Linked DNA regions of Neodiprion lecontei. The protein of the gene in region 1 purifies or fractionates together with the protein of each later gene. This does not show direct contact. Links are inferred from orthologs where the notes say so. Each region holds a gene or a part of one and is shown in the gene's direction. Other genes may lie near its edges.

Evidence for each region. The genes of interacting proteins can lie anywhere in the genome.
Region 2: the proteins of la protein homolog (region 1) and 60 kDa SS-A/Ro ribonucleoprotein purify together in Homo sapiens (affinity purification with mass spectrometry; 3 studies listed by BioGRID and IntAct, with this or other methods). This does not show direct contact. The link is inferred for Neodiprion lecontei from reciprocal best matches to the Homo sapiens genes SSB and RO60.

What each region holds. Positions count from the first base shown.
Region 1 is NC_060261.1:34,445,364-34,453,356, reverse strand, and holds la protein homolog, read left to right. Parts: upstream 1-2,523; 5' UTR 2,524-2,790; coding exon 2,791-2,949; intron 2,950-3,176; coding exon 3,177-3,530; intron 3,531-4,699; coding exon 4,700-4,842; intron 4,843-5,040; coding exon 5,041-5,125; intron 5,126-5,230; coding exon 5,231-5,491; intron 5,492-5,701; coding exon 5,702-5,843; intron 5,844-6,021; exon of another isoform or gene 6,022-6,103; intron 6,104-6,186; coding exon 6,187-6,281; 3' UTR 6,282-7,048; downstream 7,049-7,993. UniProt on the Homo sapiens protein: Binds to the 3' poly(U) terminus of nascent RNA polymerase III transcripts, protecting them from exonuclease digestion and facilitating their folding and maturation.
Region 2 is NC_060262.1:27,929,505-27,938,283, forward strand, and holds 60 kDa SS-A/Ro ribonucleoprotein, read left to right. Parts: upstream 1-2,428; 5' UTR 2,429-2,533; intron 2,534-2,545; exon of another isoform or gene 2,546-2,722; intron 2,723-2,916; exon of another isoform or gene 2,917-2,940; intron 2,941-3,538; 5' UTR 3,539-3,560; coding exon 3,561-3,764; intron 3,765-3,882; coding exon 3,883-4,234; intron 4,235-4,404; coding exon 4,405-4,616; intron 4,617-4,693; coding exon 4,694-4,899; intron 4,900-4,982; coding exon 4,983-5,103; intron 5,104-5,180; coding exon 5,181-5,605; intron 5,606-5,679; coding exon 5,680-5,812; 3' UTR 5,813-8,491; downstream 8,492-8,779. Other genes in the region: nose resistant to fluoxetine protein 6, read left to right, coding at 1-56, 176-481, 596-770, 1,002-1,144, 1,246-1,383. UniProt on the Homo sapiens protein: RNA-binding protein that binds to misfolded non-coding RNAs, pre-5S rRNA, and several small cytoplasmic RNA molecules known as Y RNAs.

The sequences.
Region 1 (7,993 bases):
AAGGATGTACCTAAGAAATGATGACAAAGTGCAAAATTGAAAATTTGGGAGTCCTTTTATTCCAAGGGTCGAATTTTTGACCTTTTTTCGACATACTTACCCCCTAAAATGGTATTTATTTACGCGCTACCTTTCGAACTTTAGGTACATCCTTCCGATAATATTACAGAGTGTGATCTCCCAAAACTTCATCGAAATCGGTCGATAACTTTTGGAGCTACAACACGAGTAGTTTTTGAAAATGTTGTTTCGAGATAATCGCGTTTAAAGTTTCAACATGTGAAAACTAGTGATTGTAGTGACTTACCGATTAATCAGCGATGCCAGGCGCGTACAGCAGACCTTCTCCTTCCTCGAAAAGCACATTTTCAGGCTATATTGCCTCGCGTTCTTGTCGGATAGTTTGGCATTTTACTTTGGTAAACTCGGCTGTTCGTGACAGAATTTCAAACGAATCTGAATCTGTTTTTCGGGCAACGTTTCATTCCGTATACCTACCGTTTCACGCTATATGGATATATCTATAATGTCCCCTTTATAAAATTTCTCGAAACATCCGCCTGGTCAAAAAAAAAAGGAAATTAAAAAATTATAGAAATTTCATCAGCAAATTGATAGCTACTAAATTTGGGCTCGCGCGAAAAATCCTCCTCGTCCACCTCGTCCTCTTTGATCTCCATGTCTTCCTGCATCGTCTCGTCCTCCTCGTCCTCTTCTTGAAGTCGAGTGTCGCCGGGTAGTGGACCTGGACCGCAGAAACTACGGAGCGTTTGCACTAGAAATCGAGTTTCAACAGGAACCGAACCTGGAGCGCAGAAACTACGCAGCGCTGGGTAAAAAGTTACCAATTCAAGAACCTGGACTACGGAGCGCTTTACCTGGATGTCAAAATTCACCAGTTGGAGGACCTGGACAGCCAGAACAACGGAAAATTCGTCCTGAAGGTCAAAAGTCACCAGGTCAAGGACCAGGACAGTCAGAACTACGGAGCACTTGTCCTGGAAGTCGAGTTTCACCAGGTAGCGGACCTGGAGCATACAAACTACGGAGCGCTTGTTCTGCAACTCGAGTTGCACCAGTAAGCAAACCCCGATTGCAGGAACCACGGAGGTAGAGAATCCGGTACTCGAAATCTGCGGAGCGCGATTCTCATACGTCCGCTCCACTGCGCGGTTGTTTCCAGACTGAAAAATTCGGCTAGCTGATTTCCGATCGATGACATCAAGGGAAATTTTAGGTGACATCACTTTCTGAATATGCGAACATCCGAACATCCAATCTAAGATTTCGAACTTTAATACTATGTATGATGTATGATGTATGATGATATGATATGATGTATAATGATTTTAGTTTCCACGTTCCAGACAAGAAATACGCACTTTATGTTTCCTACCGATTCCAGACTCAAGCGTCTAGGCCCTTTGATGGTCAGCCGTTGACTGAAGATATATTCTTTATTCAACGGGTCAGCCAATAACGCTGCTGTCCTGCGACAGTTGGATGATAAAAATTTTCGCTCTTAGCTTTCAAATGCGTGTTAAAATACACTCGAAATTTTAAGAAGCCTCGTTCCATCTCTCCTTGTCAAAAAAAAAAAAATCGCCGACAATCACCTTTTTAGGTCTTCAAATCAGGACACTGCGTTGTACTCGTATACCGTCTCGTATACGGAGGATCTATTCCATCTCGATCAAAATTAGCGCATCCGTGATGTATTGCAGTTACTCTGAACTTTTTTCCATATGAACACTTTTCTAAAAACAATTCTGCTTCTCTACCCAACGTAGAGTCTTCACTTTCGAGTAGCTAAAACAGCGTTTCGATTCTATGCCTACGAAAATTCAAGATCGAGAGAGCAAATGAAATGTTGTGGGAATAATTATGAATATTAATGTTGTGGAATACATCGACCGCGTGTCGAAGAGAATCCCATTTCGAAATGAATAACCGTTCTATTTTAATGTCATAGCCGATTATTGTAGATAATCTAGTTTGTCTCGTGGAAAATTATAAACTTTATAGTATGCATCACGAATTAATCGTAAATGGATCATATATATTAATATCGTACATGGATCGCATATACATATATACTTTTTGGGCTCTGGATCGTTATTACATCTGACCTAAATATGAGTTCATTCTTCTCTCGGGTACCTATACTTTAATTAAATCACTGTTTTGCTACGAACTTTGGAAGAAATTTATTCTGATTATTAATTTCTTGTATCGCCGAGAATTCGGTAAGTACACATAGGCTGAGTACTGGCTTGGGCTCAGCATTGCGAAGACTGTGTTACTTGGAAGGTGACTGCAGCTAGCATCATGTCGAAATCGGTAACGATTTTCGCTTGTCACACCAAAGCACATCAGGGCAATATGCATGGAGCTCCCTCGCTCGCACTCTCAGTGAGAAAGAAAAAGACACGGCTATACTGCGAACAGCGCATGCGCGAGCATGTAGCTTTTCCGTTCTGCGGACTTGGCCTTTTTCGTGCAGTATGTATAATGAGCCAACTTTTGAACTCGGCTTCGGCTGAGTTCGGTTTCTCTAGTGTTACTTCGTGGCCGACGCTTACCAACGGTTGTATCTGGCGTCAGCGTACCGCTAATTCTCATTTCCGTTTTCGCGTTCGAAGCATTTACTAGGTGTTCGGTGCACGTGTTTGTTACTGGTCATTGAAAATAAGCGAAGTGATATTTAACTAAAACTCACGGCTGTTTGTATAAGCCACTTCGAAAAATAGTTCAATACAAAGAAATACGCATTATTGAATCACGCAGAAAATGGAGAACGGTAACGACGTGGCGAAGGCCCAAGAGCAGACCAACGCTACCGTAAGTGAGGTTAAAGATAACCCGGCTAAGGATACTCCGACCGGCGAGCAGAAAACTGGCGATGAACCCAACCCAGAACTTTTGGCTAAAGTCCGAAACCAGATTGAGGTAAGGCCATAACTTTTATTCTCGCAACAGTAAAACGTCGAATTTGTCCTTTACGAAGCCACATTAACCGCCCTCGGCTTCAGTCTCACCTAACCATCCCTATCCTTCACTAACCAAATCTCATTTGAATTGTCATCGTTACAAGTGCTGATGGATGAAGGCTTGTCTTAGAGTATGAATTTTTGTAATTGAATTATGCACCATCCTTGAATGTGAATAATTTACAGTTCTACTTCGGCGACGTGAACATGCAGCGGGACAAATTCTTGATAGAACAGTCCAAACTAGATGAGGGTTGGATTCCAATGTCAGTTCTGCTAAAGTTCAAGATGCTAGCATCGATGACCACTGATCTTGAAACTATTATCAAGGCGTTAGCTAGCAGTGAACTAATGGAAGTTTCCGAAGATAAGAAGAAGCTTCGACGCTCTCCTACTCATCCTCTACCAGTTTTTGATGAAGCCTACCGAAAAGCTCAAGAGGAGCGAACTGTGTATGTCAAAGGCTTTCCTCTGAACAACACAAATATTGAGAAACTCAAAGTATTTTTCCAGCCTTATGGACCTGTGGAAAACATTGTGGTAAGGACCGAAGTAACGAAATATTGCCTGTTCTATTGCAAGTCAATGAAATATCTGAAACTATTGATAAACGCAGATTAGTTGCAGTCAAAATTTATAATCCACACTCAATATTTCATGTATTAGACATACACTAGGAATTTTACATAGAATAATCAATAGCTAATATGATTAATGTAATACCAGTGTTGGTCTCAGACATCATTTTCTTACGATTCCAATTATTTTTATTAACGTGTGTTGAGCATTGCGTTACATGACCGATCTAATAGTAAATATATGAGAATTAAGATAATGTTTTATCAAAATTTGCTGTCAAATGATGATGATATTGTGACAGAATTTGCCATGAATGGGCCAGGGTTAAATAAATATACAGATTTTTCATCCATTTATCTCGCTGGAAGATGGGCTCTGGGGTTACAGTCTCCAAGTTATTAAATTGTTAAGTCTTGCAATAACGTATTGGTCTTAGCTGACCAGAGCGTACTTCCTAACATCTAAATGCTAGCAATACTACAAAGTTTAATCGAATGTTTTGCAAAAATATGGAATGGATTCTCATAAATACCCTTAAATAGGTTACGATGCATTGTACTCCAACCACCTAAAGAATCCATTACATAGACCAGGGCATGACGCCTTAAATCCAAGTGCTATCAAGTAAGAGTAATCAATGTTGTTGATGTCTCTTTTGCATTCGTGAGGTTTGGATTTGTCTAGGAAGGATCCCACAATTCGATTCTGTAATGCAAAATTTTCGGTTCCAATTATCAGTAGAATGAAGAAACCCCTTTTAATTCTGTTCACCGAAATTTTGACAATATTGAATAATGCTAGAATTAATCAGTTAACACACTATACAGTTGTAATTTTGCGATAGAAATTGATTATGCAAAGTTTAGAGTTGCTGTGAGCAGCAGATCAAGAGCGACATTCGAAAAATTCCTCAATTGTTGGCTTTCCGATGCTCTTGACGTCTTTTTTAGCTTCCTTGGGGTCCAATTAATCCAATCAGTTTGTATCGATTCGATCGTAGAAAACAGCATTTTTTGCTCTAGAAATCGGTTAAAAGCAAGGATATTAATCTATTCTGAAATTTAAACTTGCCGAACACTAGAATCTTTGATTTCTCATCTGCTTGTTTTGTCATACTGTTATTATTATAGATGCGCAAGTACCAAGACAAGGAGAAAAAACTACAGTTCAAAGGTTCTATTTTTGTTCAATTCAAAACACTCGAACTTGCGACGAGTTTTATGGAGAAGGAGTCCCTCAAATACGAAGATACTGAACTGATAAGAAAATGGTCGTAAGTATTTTTTGTTTCTTTCTCTTTTTCCTCAATTTTATATGATTGGATGCCTTACTACTGATTGTAAAATGTAATCGTGTTTAGTCGTAAGGACATGGAAATCATTTTTCCTCCGTTCATGAGCCATATCGCCTGATCTATCTTATTGTAGGGATGTAGTATTTGTGGATAATGTTACTTCTTTTTTTTATATAGATCAGACTACTATATAGAGAAAACTAAAGAAAAGGAAGAAAGAAGACTGAAAAAGGCAGAGAAGACTGGCAAAAAAGGAGACAAAGTTTGTATTTTTCTTCAATCAATTAATCTATCTAATCTCCTTGAATAATTGAAATTATGATTCCATGAATGATATTCTACATTTCATACTGTAATTATGTCTTAGGAAGCTGATGAGGCCGAAGGGGAAGAAGACACAGAGGATGGAGAGAAAGAAAAAGGTGAGAAAGGATTGCCCAAGGGGTCTGTGATCCATTTGTCTGGCCTTTCTGAAGAAACCACTCGAGAAGATATCAAGGAACGTCTAGGAGCCCTAGAAGGGAGAGTTGCATTCATAGATTTCAAAAAAGGTGACGTGGAGGGCTGGGCTCGACTTCAGGGTGATGAAGCAGCACTCCCAGTTTTCGAAAAGATGGAAAATGGGAAGGTGAGCGGTATATCTTTTTTGAACGCTCAAAAATGCAGATGAGTTTCAGCTCGACAATCCGTGGTATACACTGCGCTACTTTCAGCACAGCAGATACCGTAACTATATGAAATATAAATGTCACACAAATAGCGTTTATCAGTTGTTCTGACGTATCCGAAGTTTATAATTCGAAATATATTAACTGGAATATTGCTCTGTACTTTATAGCTTCTAATCAGTGGCAAAGAAGTAACTTGCAGGATTTTGGAAGGCGAAGAAGAGGACAAATACTTAGCAAAAGCCAAAGAGGAGATGGCAAATCTCCGACAGAAATATGACCACAAAGGAAAACGTGGCGGCCGAAGAGGCGGTGAGCACATTATCATTCTTCGTTTTCTAGAAAATTTAGAGCCTTGGATGTTTATACACAACGTGAATCAATCATGTATTTCGCCAATAAATTTAAGTTACTAACCTATTTCAATTGAGAAAAATCAAGTCACCCTTCAGGCAGTATAATTGATTACGTACTATCGAAATTCAAGTAGTTTAAATGATGACTAGCCATGCTAATACTGAGAGATCTTCAGGATCTCGCTGAGTTGAAATTTTCTAAACGCACTGATGGAAACTACTATTTGAAGTGAGGCTCTTTACCTTACTCGATTACTGGGATACAACTCAATAATGCGTTACGTATTTTTCATTTTCAGGCCGAGGCGGATACAGAGGTGGACGCAAAAGGAGAAACAGCCCAAATCGAGATAAGCAACAGCCTCCGGCAAAGAAGGTCGCAGCGGCCGAGTAACTGACTCTCATACAACAGGCAAGTTAACACCGTCGTTAGAGAGGAGTCGTGAATCATATAAATATCTATATATAATATATTATATATAAATATAAAATATACTACATTACAACAATGTAATAACTTCATTGGCGATGTATAGTATTTTTTCAAATCTCGAGACACCTTCAAATAATTTGAAGACAAAAATATTATTGAAGACTGCATTCATTTGAGTTTATTGTGGCGAATATGACCGCCGCGTTTGCCATTCTGCTTCCTTCCTTTGTTTATTATGTATCGTTCATAATATATTAGGATAATGTATTAATTTAACAGAATGTAATTAAAAGTTGGCTTATATTTCTTATACATGACCTGCACAGTTACTTATTGTTGACCTACTTCTCTTGCAACGAAATCCCGGTGAGGTTTGATCTGGTTTTAACCAGGTATGTACATGTGCCCGGTTTTCGGCATGAAGGTTTAGTATTTTGACTCCCCTCCGCGATCATCATTCCAGAAAGCACACGCACGCGCACCCCCCCTCCCCCCCTCCTGTGGTATGGCGGAAATTAGAGATTAAAATAAATTATTTCAAATTCTCCGCTGTCAGTTTACATTCAAAAGACTTTGTATTTGCTTGTATGTACAGGATTTGATAATTAGCCTACCTAATTATACGTAGGACTTATTCGATTGACGTATTATTTACATGATCGCGTTAGTATATTCGTCGTATATAATTATAATCTATATTCATATGTATAGGAACACGCTTGGTGCAACTACCCGGCGAAAAAAGCAGTTACTTAAGAAATAGGGGGAAAACAACGTGTAATATTCGGAACTTCAATACCAAATTATAAACGCATAGGTGCATATGCAAGTTCGTATTTATCGCGTCATTAAAATTTACGTCGGAGACTAAATGATATCAACAAAATGTCGCAGGTACAAAAACGGCCTATACAACCAGCCAAATTGCGACTTTTGAATAGCTCGACATCAATGTTCAGAAACATCTCTCATAAGTGGAAGAAAGACAGCGATTTTAGCTTCGTACAATTCACCCTACTACAGAATTATTTAACTGCATTTACTCACAAAATAATATTAAAATTAACAATCACAATTACAATTTCCCACCTATGCCTTTATAATCAGTGATATATTTATTAGTATGTTGTATACATATACTATAGGCTGTCGGCAGTTTCTTTAATTTCTGTAACCTACCAATTTGGTTTTCGGATATTTCAGTTAAGAAAAACAGTATTTAAATTCTGTAGATAATAGACATTGCGACACCCTGTATATGTGTGCGATCTCTTATAATATAAATTTCTTAACTCTGTTATCTTTTGGACAGCATGTATAAAATCCGCAGTAATATCAACGAGCTATGAGCCTGGAATTTACCAAAAATAATTCCAGTGTTTCATTTTTCACGTGCAACGAATTTCTGCGCATATGAGATGATGAACAAAAAATGCAATATTCCAAGGAAACTAGCACAAAGTGCCATAAGTGTATCAAAACAATACTCATGATGTTCATTTATAAATATTATTGACCAAAAGAAATCGAAAACTATCAGATTTAACACATGTTCTATGTTCTTTAATAAACGTCTGTAAACGACTCAACGTTGACGAGTTGAACAGCGCTGAAAATTGTCCAAAATCACTCGTATAGAAAACAAGTATCATTTATGACGGCGAATGAATTCC
Region 2 (8,779 bases), on another chromosome or scaffold:
ATTACTGGTGGAGGAATCTGCTCTACATAAATACGCTTTTCCCCGTCGATGAAATGGTTAGCATGTGCACGATTTTTTTTTTTCTAATCGTTAAGAAATACCTTTTTCCGGCAGACGCTTTGACCAGTCGGTCCACTTGTCGTGATGAACATTGACGGTGAATTTTGAATTTCAGTGCATGCTTTGGAGTTGGTACGTCGCCGACGATACGCAGTTTTACGTCGTTGGTGCTATCATACTGATCGTAGCGACCAATCACGTCAAGATTGCTGCATTTTCGACTGCGATGTTACTCCTCAGTTCCTGGATAGTAACGGCTTACATCGCTTACACCAACAACCACATGCCAAGCTCGGACGATCCCCTCGCATTATTTGACAAAATTTACGACAAGCCTTGGACGAGGCTTGGTCCTTATTTGATTGGGATGTCCGTAGGGTATTTACTCTTCAAGACAAACTGCAAAATTACTATGTCCAAGGTTGGTCTTTGCTTTACACATATTTCACACCCACGCTGTTGTGGATTTGTCATCTTACGCGTAAAACGCTACTTGAAAAATATCGACATTCAAATAATGCCTTTCGTATTTCAGATGACGGTTACTGTGGGCTGGCTACTGTCAACAGCGTGTCTTCTCAGTTTACTCTACGGTTTGTACGAGACGGAATTGAGTCTTGCAACGGCAGCTGCTTACTCTTCCTTAAGCCACAGCGCATGGTCACTTGGACTAGCATGGATAGTCGTAGCGTGCAGCACAGGCTACGGAGGTCAGTTGACAGAATATATGAAAAATTATTTATAACTTCATGGCCTGAATCTATGCTCGCTTACAGAGACAAATTTTTAATCGATAATTGTTCAAATTGCACAATTATTCTGAAATTGGACAAAGATAAAGGAAACAAGACTTTGTTCAATTCTCAGATCTTTTTACAGAGATGGTAATAGACTCATTACTTCAAATCGTATTAACGACATTTTTAATTTTTCTTATTCAGGTTACGTCAACAGCATATTATCGGCGCCAATTCTGCACCCGTTTAGCAGAGTTACTTATTGTGCCTACCTTGTCCATCCTATCGTTATTCGACTAACAGCAATGAATCTAGACGCACCGTTTCATCTTGGGAAAGATACTGTGGTACGTAAACTCTGACGTAAATATAAAAGGGTATTAAATTCGCCTGGGTTGCATTGCACTCGGTTAAAACAAACGATTAACGTATGTAACTAACTTTTCAGTTGATAACATTCCTCGGGCAATTCGTGCTTTCGTATGCCTTGTCATTCGCGATTTCTTTGGCTTTCGAGGCTCCGGTTGTCACTATGCTGAAGATCCTGGCACCTAACAAGCGAAGAAGAATCCCACGAGTTCCTTGAATCCAAGAGTGTGTTTGATCATCGTTGAATTTTGGTGCAAAAGTGATATACGATAGTTGAGAAAATATGTGATACTCCATATTGTAATAGGAGTAACGAATGCAGTTGTATGAGAGTCAAGAGGGAAGCTTGTGTAGTTGTTTACTTCGATAAAAACCAATAGGCATAGTTTTATCATGCAGCTATTACCTATAGTCCATTTTTATCAATTGTTTAAGATATTTGTATGGAAGCATACGAGGATTTTTCGGCGAGCATTTGACGTGGGTACGAAACTATAAACGACTATATACTTGAAAATAACCAGACGTAAACTGTACCTTGGTACATTGTGGTACCTGAATCAAACACTTGCCAAGGAGTGTTTTGTTAGGATGAGATAATTAGAATTATTTCGAATGTAATTCTCTCAGACTCTCTCCGGATATCATCTCTTTTTTTTTTGTAAGTGAGATAATTTTCAAATATAAGTTATTTAAATTGTATCTAATACGCCCTAACGCGCTACGTCAATATATGTTAATATTGTACACCCCATTACCAATATGTACCGTATTCATTAGATTTGATCTTATTATACGGCCTAATTTTTAGATACGTTTTATCTGTAGCCTGTAAATAATAAAATACAATTTCTATATAAATCGAATCACCAATTTCACTTTTAATTAACCATCAATCTGTCACCTATACGTACTTCACCTCAATTCATCAAAAACAATAAGAACCCGACAAATTTCGAACAGTTAGACGATCGCGGGTGAAAAAACAGGTAATTCAGATTTCACGAAGCCGTCAGATAAAGCTCTTCTATCTTACCGACAGTCGTCGAGAGAGATGGCAATGAAATGCCAAAATTTGTTCCTTTCCCCTTCACGGGAAGTGGAACAGCTATAGATATAGGCGTATAATTTCGCCTCATTCTCCTCTGCCGCCTCGATCCCCGCCGCAAATATCGACAGAGAGAGAAAGGAGTACTCGCGGCATATATCTGTCCTTTAAATGTTTGCTTCAAACGGCTCATGAGAGCGCTCAGTCTATCTTTTATAAGTCTATGGTGCAAACATCGCAACTGACGTGCCGTTGTCCGTAGGAAATATTGTATGGTCGTATTTGGGCAGCGCTACAGACATTTTTCCGATATTATCAGGTAACCGTTAGTTTTTCTGGTAATACGACAAGAACATAACACCGTTTTAGCATTAGCCAACGAATGATTCAGCCACTCAGCACCCTGTTGAAAACGAGAGGAAGAGAATTCGCTTGGAATCCTGACGTCACGTCATGTCATATTCGTATCAATATTGTCTCATTCTTTTTTTCCAACTCGCTTTATAAGGTAATTGCGGTTACGCGTTTGGAATTACGTGCGTGAGTGTGTCGGTTCTTTAACGCATTCCACATTCTTCCGCCAATTTCGCATTTCGGAGTACGAAGTACGTACGAGTTCGACGGTCGTAACGTCGTTTTACATTGTTCACTGAATACCTAACCACGATCAGCTCGCGGCTATGCATATATGGAAATACGCCGGATATGTAATGGATAAGATATATTGTAATTGAATGTTTAATCAAAATTTTTCTCATCCAAACTTGATGCGTATGCGTATATCATTTCACAAATTGCACTGACTTTTGACAATGCATTAAACGGTGTTTAAAAGAAAGTGCTACAACGATTCTTTTCAGCTCACTTAGCTTTTTTTCCGACATTTTTTGTTGTTACTCCGAAATTGAATATCTTCAAATTTAGACACCGGTGGAAATTTGGGTTGGATTCGACTTGTACGTTTCCTACTTAGATAATATGTTACACGATCCGCTACTTCATCGATTTTGTTCAACTTTGAAAACACGTATTAAGGGTAAAAGTCTTGTGTTGATATAGGCTTTTAATCTACACCATATATGTTTTTTAGAGGTATTTCGATGAGTAAATTCTACAGCTTGCAGCTTATAAATATTCTAATCAACAGTCACGTATTTTAAGTATAATATATTGACAGAAAAGCATTACATCGATTGATATATGCCATAAAAATTTTTTCTGGCCACCAGTGGAAGATGCAGAAAAATTACATGGATTTAGAAATGTTTTACATGGAAAAACAATTATTAAATTAATAATAACAACGATAATAATCGATTTACAGAATTGACGTATAATTAATAAATATGGCGGAGCCTGCGCTATCAGGAGATAGTCTAATTCAACTTGAAGTACGTCTTTGCCAATATCTGTATGTCGGGAAAGAATACCCAAATTATCAACCAGGCAATTGGTTTTTTCACAATTATTATGAAGAAGGTCGCGTTCAGTCCATAAAAAAAATAGCCGAAACACAGAACCCATTGGTAGCAATCGACTTGATTAAAAAGGTACATAGTTTATATCTGTTAATCAATGTTTTTCTAATTATTTCTTAGACACAACGGGAATACTGATTATTGAGCTACATATGAATACTCGTTTATCTCTAGTCATTTTCCTTTTCAGGCTTTTGAAAGAAAACTGGTACAAAATTCAGAAACTTTGATATTTGCACTGGCAGTATGTGCCAGACAAACTGAGAACGAGAGTCTGCGCCACGCTGCCTACAATGCGATAAAAACAATTTGTACAACACCGCAACATTTCATTCTGTTCGTCAAGTTTGCTTCTCAAATAGCCAAGAGCGCACCGGAACCGAAACACGGTTGGGGTGCCGGATGGCGAAAAGCTGTAAATGAGTGGTACTTGTCCAAAGATGCACTTGATTTAGCGAAGTGTGTTACCGGATGCAAAGGCAGATATGGCTGGACTCACAAGGATATTGTGAAATTATCTCATCCCAAAACAGACGATATTGGTAATTTGAATCAATCCACACTATTCAGGTTCATTTATATTACAATTGAGTTTCATACTTGTTAGAATAGTGCCAACAGCTTTGGTCCTTTTGAGACTAAACAAGCAATAATCGAATGCTCTCAGTATCATGCATGAATAATTAATGTATCAACTTTGTATGTAAAACAGCAAAGAAGGCTGTTCTGAAGTACGTATTGTTCGGGTTGAAAGAAACGATAAAAGATTTTGGCGATAAACCGGAAGCTGCCGAAGTGATTGAGTATATTCAAAAAATTGAAAATTTTAAACATTGCGAAGATCAAGTATTGGCTGGCAGATTGCTAGAACTTCATAATCTTACATTGGATCATGTCCCTGGGCATTTACTGAAATCTGAAGAGGTAACTTTCGCAGACATTAATTTGGAATGTTAATAAAACTGGGAATAAAGTATTGACATGCCAATCGATATAATCAGGTATGGAATTCATTGATACCAACAATGAATATAACCATGCTGCTTCACAATCTCCAAAGAATGCACAACATTGGAATACTAGAACCAACTGGCGCGGCAGTCGATAAAGTAGTTGATGAAATCTGCAACCAAGAGAAGCTACTCAAGGAAAAGATTCACCCAGCTCTGGTTCTGATCACAATTAAGAATTACGAAAAATCTGGCCCGTATGTAATCTGATATGTTTTGTATGCTAGTCACAAATTTAACTAACAGATTTTTTGTAACCAATTTTTTTGTTCTCTATCAGAGCTTTATCGTACGAAAAACAGAAGGCCAGAAAAGCCAAAGCAAGATCAGTGATTCCACCGCCAAAACCTACAAGAAAAATTATTGAAGCTCTTTACAAAACACTTGGATATTCGTTTAATGTAAGTTGTATAATTCTGTCACATCATTGCTCATCAGGGAAACGCAGATTGATGCTTTATTATTATCTCCATCTTAGAGTCTGGCACCAACAGGTCTTCGATATATGATTACAATAGATATGAGCAAAGCTATGCAAGACAATTCTGCATGGCGGTGTGGAAATCTCAGCTCAGCAGAAGCAGGATGTCTGATAGCACTGTGCCTTCTTCGGAGTGAGAACAATGTAACAGTGGCAACTTTCAAAAATATTGGTGTTCATATTGTATATTTGAATAAAAATGCATCATTGGGACAAATTGTGAAGAAAATGAAGCAAATGCCAACAGGGGAGGTTAACTTGGAAAAGCCAATGATTTGGGCAGCTCAAAAAAGTGAAGAAATCGACGTATTTATAAACGTAGTCGACGTTGTTGACAAAAGATGTGGGAATGGAGCGAGAACTGACAACCCTAGGAAAGCTATCAAAGAGTATCGAAGCAAAATGGAGCTAAAAAATGCAAAGTAAGTGCTTGTCACACATGACATATAAAATTCTATCATTTCACCAATTTACTCATTTCTGACATTCATTATAGATTAGTAACCTGTGCGATGACAACTGCACAAATGGTACCTCATAGCGATGACGACAAAAACACTCTCACTATCTGTGGATTCGATGAGAATGTCCCAAAAATTATCGAAGCTTTTGCAAGGTCCCTGTTTTAATTTGCAACGATATCCTTCTAACCTAACCTTTTCTAACAGCCACAAATGTCTCAACACCAACCAAAGAGAAAAAAGGAAAAATACAATGTACATCAGGAACAAGAGACGTACGCAAATTGGCTATAATACATCAGTGTGTTACAAGTTATAAAATTACAAATCACCCTGGAGAATGAGAATGGCATTTAATCACGAGAGGTTAGTCAGTTGCATTTTGCAGCTGTTGGAAATGAAGTTATATTTTTCATCTTCCAATTCTTAATCTTTATCTGTCCTGCACATACAATACCTAACAATTTATTATTGCGACATTAGAAATACTTGTATAATTTTGTTCTTTCAAGGTCCAAAATTTTCTACGCACTTCATACTATCGATTTTAATTTGTGTCTGGAGTTTTCAAGGTTCTTAATTATCTTGTATACATTATTTGCTTATAGCTGGACAGAAACATTTGTGGCAGATAGCAGTAGAATCAAGAATTATTTTAGAAGTGATTCCGTGTTTTCTATTTCGTACAATATGAATGATAAAGAGTATCAATATGTGAAAAAGTTCGAAGATATATCTATGTAAAGATTATAATTAAAATGGGGAAAAAAAGATATTATCTGGAAAAAGTGAAGTTGGCCATGGTTTCAAATGATATGATAATCGGAGTAATTAATGCTGCATAGTTTAATGATAGAGAGACTAAATAATTACTACAACTGCCTAAGATATCTTTTACTTTAACGTAGAGTGTCGACAACCCACACAGACTGACCTTTTTGATAAAGCTCTGATTATTTATCGATTTATTAGCCGCATTTAGATCATTTTATGAATATATTATTCTAGATTTAATGTGACTCGGGTCGACACGGGAGAAATATATAAATCACGACTTAATTACCACTAATACGATAATACAAAAAAAATTAACAATTGTCGAGACATTTACCATACATGGAATTCGTTTCTCGAATAGAATTTGAATATCTCGTTGCTATTAAGAGCATCTTTATGGGAAAAACGTCAAAGTACATGAACACAAATGGCTTAATACATATTGGTCATATTGTGTTTCGCTGTAACGTCTACACCATTCTGTGTCATCGTGGTATGTTTCTTTAAAAGTCGAGCAAAAAAAAATATCAACGGGTCCTACTAAATTTTATCTATTTTATCTAAATTTACCATGACAAATTAGAAATCTATAAAGTTCTAACTTAGCACGTGATTAACAGTGGTGAAAAAAAATGGACACTCTCTATTTAACAAATATAATAGAAAAATAAAATATGCGTTATTTTGCACTGTGAATCTTTAACACTAAGTTGATACCACTATTAGATAATGATTTTATGTGATTACAATTAAGAATAAGGCGTGTATTCTTTTAAGAAGAAATTTTTTTTTTTTCTCCTTATGCTTAATGTCATTCTGCATATCGCATGTTGATGCATTTTTATTGTTGCTTTTTTTTTTATGAGTTCGAAACATTTTGATTTCAAGCTAGTAGTCAAACGCAGCAGAGTATTTAGGCTTACGATTGTACAGTATGCTTGATACGTATAATAATACTCAAAAATTATACATTGTAATAATAATTTTGCTTCAATTTGATCTTGGTTTTGGCTATGGGTTTGTGGTTTTTTGATATACTTTTAGTGTGTAATAACTAGGGCCTGGATTGATACGTGAATATATATTTTTTACTAAATCATTTTTATTTCTTATTTGGTTTTCTACATAAAGTAAGATGTTTGGAGCCAGAAAATGCAGTTTCTATTTTTTATATTTTTTTTCCCCCATATTTTAGGTTTTTTAAGTTTATATTATACGTACATGTTTTATAATTTGTAATACACATTTACCCAGGCTCTAGTAATAACTATTACGAATGCATAATGAATTAGAAATTCGCACACTCCCGGTTTACACCAGTTGATAGAAAATGTGAAAAAAAAGTGGAAAGAAAGAGAATAAATAAAGATGAAAAATTTTCTCTGTGATATGCATTTAACCCCAAAGAGTGTAAGCTTACAATTTTTAGTGTAATTTTTACTGTTATTTCATATTTGCCATATCCAAAGTAACGAGAAGTAAACACTGAATATCCCTTATACTTATATACTGTGATATAAAATCCACTGTTATTGTTGAAACTAGAAAAATGAATAAATAAATCGGGAGTGTGCTAAGCTACACCTAATTTGTTAATTAGTCTTAAATGATATAGTATAAACGATTTTATTGATAATCAATAAAAGCACGGGATAAAGCTTTGTTCAATAACGAATATTATATCGCTATCATTATTTTTTCAACTATCGAATTTAATGTATTAACTCATATTTTCCTTTTTTTACTCTGAAATTTTCTTCTCTATAAAATTGTCAATGTATAATATACAATATTTTTAGGTGATTTTACTTTTATTCTTCTCATAAAATCTGAATTTAGGTTAAAAGTAATATAATATTCGTCAGAAGAAAACAGTATTTTTTTATATTCCAAAATTTATGAATTTGGTGAGATCTATTTATTCACGTGCACTAAGTTACGTTGTGTTAAAATGAGGGTCCGTGTTTACAGCAAACGTGAAAACAGCATTAAAGAATAAAAAAATTGAAAAAAAAAAATCAATTAATGCGAAAAATGTGTATGATAAGAACGTACACTACAAATGATAATGGATGTTAGGTAGATTTCATAGAATCATGTATGAAATAATTAAGTATAAAGTCCGTTAAAAATTGGTATGTTTAATAGAACAACATTTCTGTAAAATGATAAAAGCAATTAATTTAAATCCTTGGCTATCTAACGAAATGTTATTTATCGCGTGCTATATTTTTTTGATAAAATAGTTAAAAATCTTAACGTAGATCCATGATCACCGCAAAAAAAAACGTTCCATGTGTTCGTACCAGGTGAAAAAATATCAACTATTTGCATTAAAAAAAAATTCCACTGTAGCGA